2 linked regions of the Sus scrofa genome follow. The protein of the gene in region 2 interacts with the protein of the main gene of each other region in a pairwise test. Links are inferred from orthologs where the notes say so. Each region holds a gene or a part of one and is shown on either strand. Other genes may lie near its edges.

Region 1 (4,162 bases), on a different chromosome or scaffold from region 2:
TGAAAATGAAAGTTTTGGTCTTTTAGCTATTCTATTGAACATTCCAGTTCACTTCTAAAGTGGCTTGGTTTTTTGCTTTCAGAATGCATTCAGTCAGCTAGGTATTTTTACATTGGAACGCAAGATGTTCCAGAGCGTTTACAGTTCCCTGGCTTCTAGAGCAGCCCATTTACTTATTGGCACTTGAAAGTTGGGAGTTTTTTGGTGCATTGCAATGCTCTGTATAATTTTCGTATTTGTTGCAGCTAAAATAACTATGCAGACATTGCAAGGTTCGGTGTGAGAAATTCCACCACAGATACTGCAAACTAACCAACGATATTTCTAGTCATTTTTACCGGTGAGCTTCTTAACGACAGGACTAGAATTTTCAGTGAGGTAAAGAAGGTAAGATAGGTGTTTCATTTATGCTTGAGAGACGGTAGGGAGGAAAGGTATTCTATACAGGCTTCCACAGCTGCTTGCATACCTAACCTGGAGTGGTTTGGTTTACTCCTTCCAGATTATTTAGAATTTGCACTCAACCACCATCCCTACCATCAGCCCTCCCTCTCCAGCCTTTACTAGAGACTATCCTGGATCTTGATCTAAAAAGGGAAATAGCCTTGATGTTTTGATGAAATACTTCTCGTGGGTATAGCCTGTATTTGGGGATAAATGCATTATATCTATTGAGGCCCCTCGAAGACTCCGCTTATCCTCTGTTATATCTGATCTTAAAGTATTCGGCTTGGCATTTCGTCAAAGATTATTTTTGAAGAAGACAATTTGTGGGTGAAGACTTGAGACTTATTTTCTTAGTGTCTCTACTACCTTTTCCCCCCCCCAGCAAGGCAGCAGGTAGTTGCAGTGATTGTCTTTTGAAAAAAAAAAAACAAAAAACCATTTTGCGTCTTGTTATTTCATTGTTCTTATTTAATTTTATTCTAGGTCCAGGGGCAGCCATTAATGGTACAGGTCAGTGGAGGTCAGTTAATAACATCAACTGGCCAACCCATCATGGTCCAGGCTGTTCCTGGTGGACAAGGTCAAACCATCATGCAAGTACCTGTGTCTGGGACACAGGGTTTGCAACAGGTGAGTGGTATTAAAATTATTTAGACTATCAGGATAGAGGTTTTAAGAAATAGATTGTTGCAAACTGAAAATTGCTATTTCATTTAATTTCTTCCTACCCTCTGTTCACATTTAGCCAATTTCCTGCCTTTGTAGTGTTGGTGATATAAAGCAGAGGTATGTGGAAATTAGACGTCTCTGGTAAGAACTAGAATGTTAGACTTGATATTGAGTTAGTGTAAAGATTGTAAAAAGAATCTATTTTAATAAAGGTAGTTAATTGGTGTGACCTTTGTTGGCACTTCTGGGCACTAGGGCAAGGAATTTACAGGCTGCCGTGGAGACTTGTTTTCTGTAAAAAATGTGATCCTTTTCATTTCCTTCCATGTAATTTACAACTGGAGTTATCTAGCAGGTGATGGGGAAAAAGTGGGGGGTTTTTTTGGTTTTTTTTTTTAGTACAAACCTGCCATACATACGTCAAGTTATACATAGAGCAAAATTTATAACCTTAAATATTTTGAAAGGACTGAAAACGAATGGTTATTTATCTTAGGAAGCTAGGGAAAGAACAAAATTAAATTAATAAAAATAAAATTAACGAAGTAGAAATTAAGTCTTACGTATTTCCTTTTAGTTTTATGCATGCCTTTTGGGCATAGGGATTTCTTTTGTTGTTTTATTTATGTATGTTTTCCTTTCATAGGGAAGGTTACTATAAATGTATTTGAATTTTATAGCTTTACCTTTTTTTTTCAGTTAATTTGAATTTTAGGGTAATTTCTTTGGAGTAGAGGAATTGGTCGGGCAAAGAACAAGGTCATTTTTAAGGCTATTGGTATATTCTTACCAAGATAGAGTTGTAGTTAGGATTAAAAATAGTTTCCACATTCCTTCATGCATAAATGTATGAGCCTTTAAATATATGTCTCATGTGTGCTTGCCTCAGTTTCACACTGCTGTTTCATTTCTGTCCTTTCTCTCATTGCCTCCTCTGCAAGCCCCCCACCCCCCTGCTGTGCCCTCTCTGTCCAATAGAAACAGTGTGGTAATAGCACTAGGAACACTGTACAGGTGCAGTAATCTGACTTTTATTCCCAGGTCTGCCATTAAACAGACTTTCTGATCTTGGCCAAGTCATTTGATTGTCAGTTTTCTCATTCAAAAACGCAGTTTACATCAGGTGATTTCTGCAGTTCATTCCCACTCTGAAGTCTATGATTTTTATGGGAGTTTTCTTGGCCTTTAAGAGACATTGAAAGGTTTATTTTATTCCCCTCCCTCCAAATAGGACTGTAACTAATCAAACCATCTTGGAAAAAAATATTTTCTGCTCATTATATAATGATACAGCTTTAGGAAAGATTCCATAGCTTCTCTTAGAATGCTTAAAATTTCAGCTCATTTTTTTAGAGGTTACTTTAGTATTTGTTGAATAACCATGGCTTTTAGAAGAGTACTTAACCTTTTTTGGTTGCATCTTCTGTTTTAGAATTCCAGTGAAACTTAACGCTCTTCTTGGCTTAAGATCCCTGGCTTGATATAAACAATGGAATTAAAGTAGAGAGCCAAGAATGTAGGTGAACTAAAGTAGATGCAAGATATCGCAAATTAGTTTATCAAAAATAGTGCAGGAGTTCCCTTGTGGCTGAGCAGGTTAAGGACCCAGGATTGTCACTGCAGTGGCTCCAGTTACTGCTGTGGTGCGGGTCACTCCTTGGCCTGGGAATTTCCACATGCCTTGGGGAAAAAAATGTTATGAAAGTAAAATTGCTCTCTACTTCATACCATATCAAAAATACTTGCTAGATAGCTTACAGATCTAAATGTAAAAAAGCATAGTTGGAAACTAGTCTTTTATAGGAATGTTTACTTTACATTGTGGGATAGAGAAGGATTTCTTAAAAAAAAATAATTGATTTGACTATAAAATAAAAACTTGTATATGTCAAAATGTATCAAAAGGCAGAAGACAAAAAGCTTTTTTGTTTTTTTGTGGGAGTCCCAGAAAGAGAGAAAGAAAGGGCAGAGATAATATTTGAGGAAATAATGGTTGAAAACTTCCCAAATGTGATTAAAGACATGAATTACAGGAAGTTCCCATTGTGGCTCAGCAGTAATGAACCTGACTAGTATCCATGAGAATGCAGGTTTGATCCCTGGCCTCGCTCAGTGGGCTAAGTAAAGATCTAGTGTTGCTGTGAGCTGTGGTTAGGTTGTAGACGCAGCTCCAGATCCAGCATGGCTGTGGCTGTGGCGTAGGCCAGCAGCTGCAGCTCTGATTCAACCCCTAGCCTGGGAACTGCCATATGCTGCATGCTAGGCCCTAAAAAGGAAAAAAAAAAAAAAAAAAAAAAAAAGACATGAATAGCAAAAGGATACAATATGTTACTTCTTATATTAAGTTTATAAATATAAAATAAAACCATATAGTTTTATGCATATACATGTGTAAATTATGCTCTATAAGAATGATCACCAGTTTTGTACTATAATGATAACTTTGATGGAAAGGGAAAGTTAAAAGAAATTAAGTAAATATAGTAGAATGTTAATTCGTTAAACCTGAGTATTGACTGCAGGGCGTCTAATATGACAGTCTCGACTTTTCTGTATGTTTAAGGATTTTTATAGAGTCCCAGTTGGAAAACTCAGAAATATTTTTCCAATATTTTATTATAGAAAATTTCAAACAGGCAAAAGCAAAGAGAATGGTGTAGTGAGTCATCATCCAGTCTAAGACACAAATTAGTGTTATATTTAAATAAATATTTCATCTGTCTTCTCCTACTCTCTCAAGGATTATTTTGAATATATATAATATGATTTCATTTATTAAAAAATACTTTAAAAATAAAAAGTACTTTTTCAAAAAAAAATTTAAGAATGCTATTAAAAATACTCTTTCAAGGATTATTTTGAATGTATATAATACCATTTCATCTATAAAAAAATACTTTTTCATCTATCAAAAAAAGGGTGTATTTTTAAATGAACATGCTTTTAGAAACATATAACCATACCTGCACCATCATCCTTCTAAAAGCAGACATTGACTCATCTATATCCAGTATCCACACAGTGGTCAAAATTCCCCCATCATGTC
Region 2 (5,361 bases):
TATCACTGGCTTGAGGGCAGTCCCTAAACCTGTCACACTGTGGTATTCTCTTCCAGATCACCACCATTCTCAACTCTGTGGTGGTCAGCCCCCACCCCTCCATTTCAGGGGCTAGAGTTCTAGCTGGAATCTCCACTTAGAGACCCCAAAAGGACAAAACCATGTATGGCAGCATCAAGGCAATAGGAAGGAGTTAATTTCATAGGAACAAGTATCTTTCCCCATTCTATACCCCTCCATGGGAAGATCCCACTGACATCAAACCTCACCATTCTCACCCTATAAAGATCCTCTTTATTTATAGACTCCATAAAAGCTTTTCAAGTCTCCTCTTTCCCAAGAGAGCTCAGGAATGTCAGTCCACTGCCCCGGTTCTAGCCCTCCCTTCCCCCCACCCCCAACACGGCTAGGAGTCCCTGCTACCACGTGTCTGACCTCCTAAGCCTTTCCTAGGCAGTGTTAAGGCTCCCCCTGCTGTTCAAATGGGAGAACTTCATATCGTGTCCTCTAGCGTGCAGGGGAATCTTTCCAATTTTTTTAGCCCTTGATGGCCCCTAACCACTCAGTCCTTTACCTTGATTTTAACTTAAAGGCAAAATGAACCCTAAAATGAACTCATGCTATCAAGGACCAGAGTTGCAAGAGAATCTGTACAAGAAGGCTCCTCTTCCTCCAAACAGAGACAGTCCCAGAATGATAAAAATAACCAAGGAAAAAGGGTTGAGAAAAGAGAAGATACAAAGTTCTACTAAAAAGGAAATGACCTGGGGAAAAATAAATGGCACCTATCCAAGCCTGATCCATGTTGCAAGTCCCACCAGAAGCAGATAATCAGATACCATACTCTTGCCCACCCAACTCTCCCAGGATTGTTAGATACCTGAGGTAGCTCAGGTGAAGTCCGGGGCTCCTGTGGGTCTCCACCTCCACATCACTGCTGGGTTCTGAACAGGAGAAAAACAGAGACTTGGGTGTGAGAAGGGATTAGAACAGAGGACTATGGGGTGGTTACAAGAATAAAGTCTAATCAAATGGCAAGAGCTCTGGGAACTAAGATTTCCTTAGGGTACAAATTGAACTTCACCTGTCAAAGGCAGAAGCTATCAGTAAGAAGAGTATAATAAGGAACAGAACAAATTTGGACAGCCTAGGAGGATGAGTTGGAAAAAAACCAGTCCTGAGTGAACAAAGGGTGAGGGGCGTCCTGCCCCAAGATGAAGGAGGATGCGTGGATCGTAGCCTGGTCTAGGGTTGGCGTTAAGAACTCCGAATAGGGAGCCGTGCAAGGGCAGCGACTGACAGCGCAGTGGGATGGCAGATTAGACTTGGGGGCGGTGATTATGACGCTTCGAAACACCCCAGAGTTTGCGAAAAGTCCTAGGAGTTTCCCAAAGCAAGTCTTCTAGTCTGGCAGGTTCCTGTGCAGTACCGCCAGAGCTCAGCCGGGGACCAGGTGAACAGGACACTAGAGGAGCACGAAGTGAAGCGGGGAGGGGGACTCCAGGTGACATGAGGCTGAGGGGATGGGCAGGGCTGTGACGTCACGGAGCTGGCGTTTGCTCGCAAAGCGGGGTCAGTCAGAAAAGGGGTTCAGCCCTAGGACGTGAGGCAGAGGAAACTCAGTCCTGGGGGGCCTTGTGTAGCCCGGCCGAGCCCAGCCGCTGGGCCGGCCCCGACTCCTCCCCTCCGGGCGCGGCCTCCACCTAAGTCTCCCGCCTCCCTCACCTGCCGCCGCCGCCGTAGTTGCTGCTGCCGCCTGCCGGTCCTCTAGCTTCGACAAAGAGCCGCCTACCCTATCGCCCTTCCGCTTCCTGCGGAAGAAATGACGCTCTAGCCGCCAGACCCGGAACTATACTCTATGGCTCACGAAGCACTTGCGCGATTAGCCGCAGGAAGTTCCCAGCAGGCTTTGCGTGTCACCATGGCAACCGGACCCAACAGCACAGCAAAGAGCCCCAAGCGCGGGACGTAGCAAATGTAGCCCTTTCGGACGATGAGCGGAACTGTTTGCCCACACGCCGGCGAAATCAACTTGAAAGCGGTCCCTGACGTGTGTAACGCCCTTTCCAGGAAATAAGAGCCACCCAACACTCCAGCAACTCCCAGGGTCCAGAACCAGTCGGCCAGGGGCGGGGCCCGCACCCCCGACTCAGTGTAGATATTCTCTAAAGCGAGTACTCATACAGAACACCCCAGCCAATGAACCATAAAAACCACATCAACAGACAAGATGACTTTTTTTCTTCAGCTAAAACAGCAGATAATTTATTGTACACGTGTTACATTCAGCCACAACTGAGAACAGAACTAGTCCAGAAAGTCACAGGTCCAGGGCAAAAAACCAAAAGGGACCATTTTGATATGAGCAAGGTGGGTCTCAGAGTGGTCCAGGCGATCAGAACGGCGAAAAGTTGTTATAGATCCATTGAGACAAGTTCTAGACAGAAGGCATGCAGTCCAACAAATTGTACCAACGTCCCTGGCCTCTGGGATTTCGTTTCTGCTCCTGTGGCTTCCACGGTGTACAAGTTTACTTGGACCTCTGCCTCATCTTTCTTCTTTTGCGCTTCAGCCTGAAAACCAGACACGAGAATGCACCTCCTGCCCACAAACCCAATCTTCTTTCCCTCCCATCTAAAATGTGCATACCATACAAGGGGTGGGTAAAAAAAATCAACGAACACTACGGTTCTATCCTCTTGTGTCCAATCCCTGGTTTTGCCAAGTCAATGCTCATGTTTTTCATCTTAAGCTGTTTAGATTTCTAAACCAAATGTTCCTCCCAAGCTTCGCCCAAGGTGTGCTCCAGTTCCCCCACCCTGTACTTGCAGTCTCAGCATACCTGCGCATTCGCTTCTTCCTCCACTGTCAACCGATCACAACCAGAAGCAGAGAATAAAACGAGATATCATTAGTTGTAGCAACGAGTTTAGGGAGGAATATAAATAGTGTAATTTTTAACCAGACAGGTTTAACCACTTAGGAGGACTTAGTCGCAGTAATCACATCAACAACTTGGACTCCCACCCGGATCCCCGCTGTAAAACCCCAATCCCGCATGCGCTATCCTATTCCCGCTCTCCACCCCCACTTAACTCCCAGCTTCTGCTTCTCCCCAAACTATCCTCCCTGTCCCACCAGCTCTTGGGCACCCTTGAGAACCTAGCGATCCGAGAACGATGGCGGACTTCCCTTGCCTGGGTCTCCCCTGCAACTGCCAATTCTTAGAGCCTCAGCTCACTAACGGGGACTGCTTACCTTCGCTCTCATGGCGCGGAGGTTTCTACGGGTAAAGAAAAAAAGTCTACAGTTAGTTCGCTGTAATGATGGCAATCGCAGAGATCAGATGTTTACGGATTGTACTCGGAACCGGAGAGAGCCCAAACCGAGACTCACCTCAGAAGATGGCGCTAAGGCCGAGAGAGCGCTAGGGGCCCGCCTACGGATATTTAATGCAATGCTCGGTGTCGTCACTTCCGTGGTCTCGCCCTGCCCCCAGGGGCGGGGCTGCGGGAGGGTAATAACAATAGCTTTTGGCCCTTTGGGTTCGTGGTAAGTGTTTGAGTTGGGACAGTTCTCTTGGAAAATAGACTATTTTGAGTGTGAGTTACAAAATTTCCCTTCCCCAGGTTTTATTATAAGGATACTATATTATTTAAATATGAGCATGTATTTCCAGTAAGAGACCCAGAAGTGCAGAAAAGCGTAGGTTAGTGACTTCCGTCTTCCCTCTCATTGCTTCATGGGAGTTGCAGTTTCCCGGCGACACCCTCCATTTTACTGTGGATAGATGCAGAGTTTACAAAAACTGGTTTGCCTTATGTTCTGAACCTAAGTTGCTGCAGGGAGATTCTATTTCGGAACTTCCAAAGGTTCTAAGATTCCAGAACGTGGAAGGATGTAAAGTGGGGAGTCGAGAAAGCTTGTCATACTACAGAGACCTTTGGCACTATTTAAGATAGATCAACTCTTTTTCTAGCCAACTCCAACGCCTGAGGCAGAATGTCACTAGATTCCTGGCCACAAAGCATCTGGCTTAGAATATACTTAAGTGATTCTCCCTCTACACAACGTGAAGATCAAATCAAAGAACAGAAGGGAAGCTAGCTAGGATCGGCTAGACATTTCTTTAGGACAAGAATGGTATTTGATGGTAAGATAACTTGCCAGTCTCCTCGTATGATTGGGTCAGAAGCACCCAGAAAAAGACTCCCAAAGATTTGGTTACAGGAAACTTGAGTTAGGATGAAAGGGAACCTTTAATCATGCAGACTTCGCCTTATTCACTGTAAAATACAGTAAAGGCTTATTATAATCCTTTTTTTTTAGTGGTTTCCTTTTATAACCTTTCCCCTTTTTAGCTCTGGAAAAAAAAATATCTAAATTTAGGACCCTTGTTCCAAGTGCTTAGGTGGTTTTAGTATTATCTCCATCAGAATGTAAGTTTTTGGTTTTTTGGCCCCGCCCACTGCATGCAAAAGTTGAAGTTCCTAGGCCAGGCAGGCCACAGCAGCGACCTGAGCCACTGCAGTGACAACGCCAGATCCTTAACCCACTGCACCACCAGGGGAGCTCCTAGAATGGAATAAGTTTTTGAAAACAAAAATAAAAACCCTAAGAGTTCCTGCCCCAGTGCAGTGGGTTAAGAATCCAACAGCGGGAGTTCCTGTCGTGGCGCAGTGGTTAACGAATCCGAGTAGGAACCATGAGGTTGCGGGTTCGGTCCCTGCCCTTGCTCAGTGGGTTAACGATCCGGCGTTGCTGTGAGCTGTGGTGTAGGTCGCAGACGCAGCTCGGATCCTGCGTTGCTGTGGCTCTGGCGTAGGCTGGCAGCTACAGCTCCGATTAGACCCCTAGCCTTGGAACCTCCGTATGCTGCAGGAGCCGCCCAAGAAGTGGCAAAAAGACAAAAAAAAAAAAAAAAAAGCAACAGCAGATCAGGTTGCTGCAAAGATCCAGGTTCCATCCCTGGGTGAGGATTAAAGGATCCAGAATTGCTGCAGCTGTGGCTTGGAATCAATCCCTGGCCCAGGAATTTATATATGCCGCTGGTGCATGCATTAAAAAAAAAAAAAAGTTTCCTCTGTGGCACAGTGGGATTGGTGGCGTCTTGGGAGAGCTGGGATGCAGGTTCAAGCCCTGGCCCAGCACAAGGGATAAAGGATCCCGAGTTACAGCGGCTGTGGCTTGGGTCTTAGGTCTATAGTGCAGCTTGGATCTGATCCCTGGCCCAGGAACTCTGCATGCCCTGGGGCAGCCAAAAATGGGAAGAAAAACAAGACAAACAAACAAAACACCAGCAGAATTACTTTGTATCAAGTCCACTATGATTTCACCTGTTGCTTTCTAGTCTATAAGCTC

What was found. The genes of interacting proteins can lie anywhere in the genome.
Region 1: the proteins of ZC3H10 (region 2) and NFYA interact in binary tests that used the Homo sapiens proteins (3 or more experiments, as listed by UniProt). The two-hybrid records come from large-scale screens. The link is inferred for Sus scrofa from reciprocal best matches to the Homo sapiens genes ZC3H10 and NFYA.

The regions. Positions count from the first base shown.
Region 1 is NC_010449.5:36,396,053-36,400,214, forward strand, and holds part of NFYA (nuclear transcription factor Y subunit alpha), read left to right. Parts: intron 1-930; coding exon 931-1,077; intron 1,078-4,162. UniProt on the Homo sapiens protein: Component of the sequence-specific heterotrimeric transcription factor (NF-Y) which specifically recognizes a 5'-CCAAT-3' box motif found in the promoters of its target genes.
Region 2 is NC_010447.5:21,504,652-21,510,012, reverse strand, and holds the start of ZC3H10 (zinc finger CCCH domain-containing protein 10), read right to left. Parts: upstream 3,504-5,361; 5' UTR 3,397-3,503; intron 3,284-3,396; 5' UTR 3,259-3,283; intron 2,866-3,258; 5' UTR 2,843-2,865; intron 2,574-2,842; 5' UTR 1,726-2,573; intron 945-1,725; 5' UTR 881-944; intron 1-880. UniProt on the Homo sapiens protein: Specific regulator of miRNA biogenesis. Binds, via the C3H1-type zinc finger domains, to the binding motif 5'-GCAGCGC-3' on microRNA pri-MIR143 and negatively regulates the processing to mature microRNA.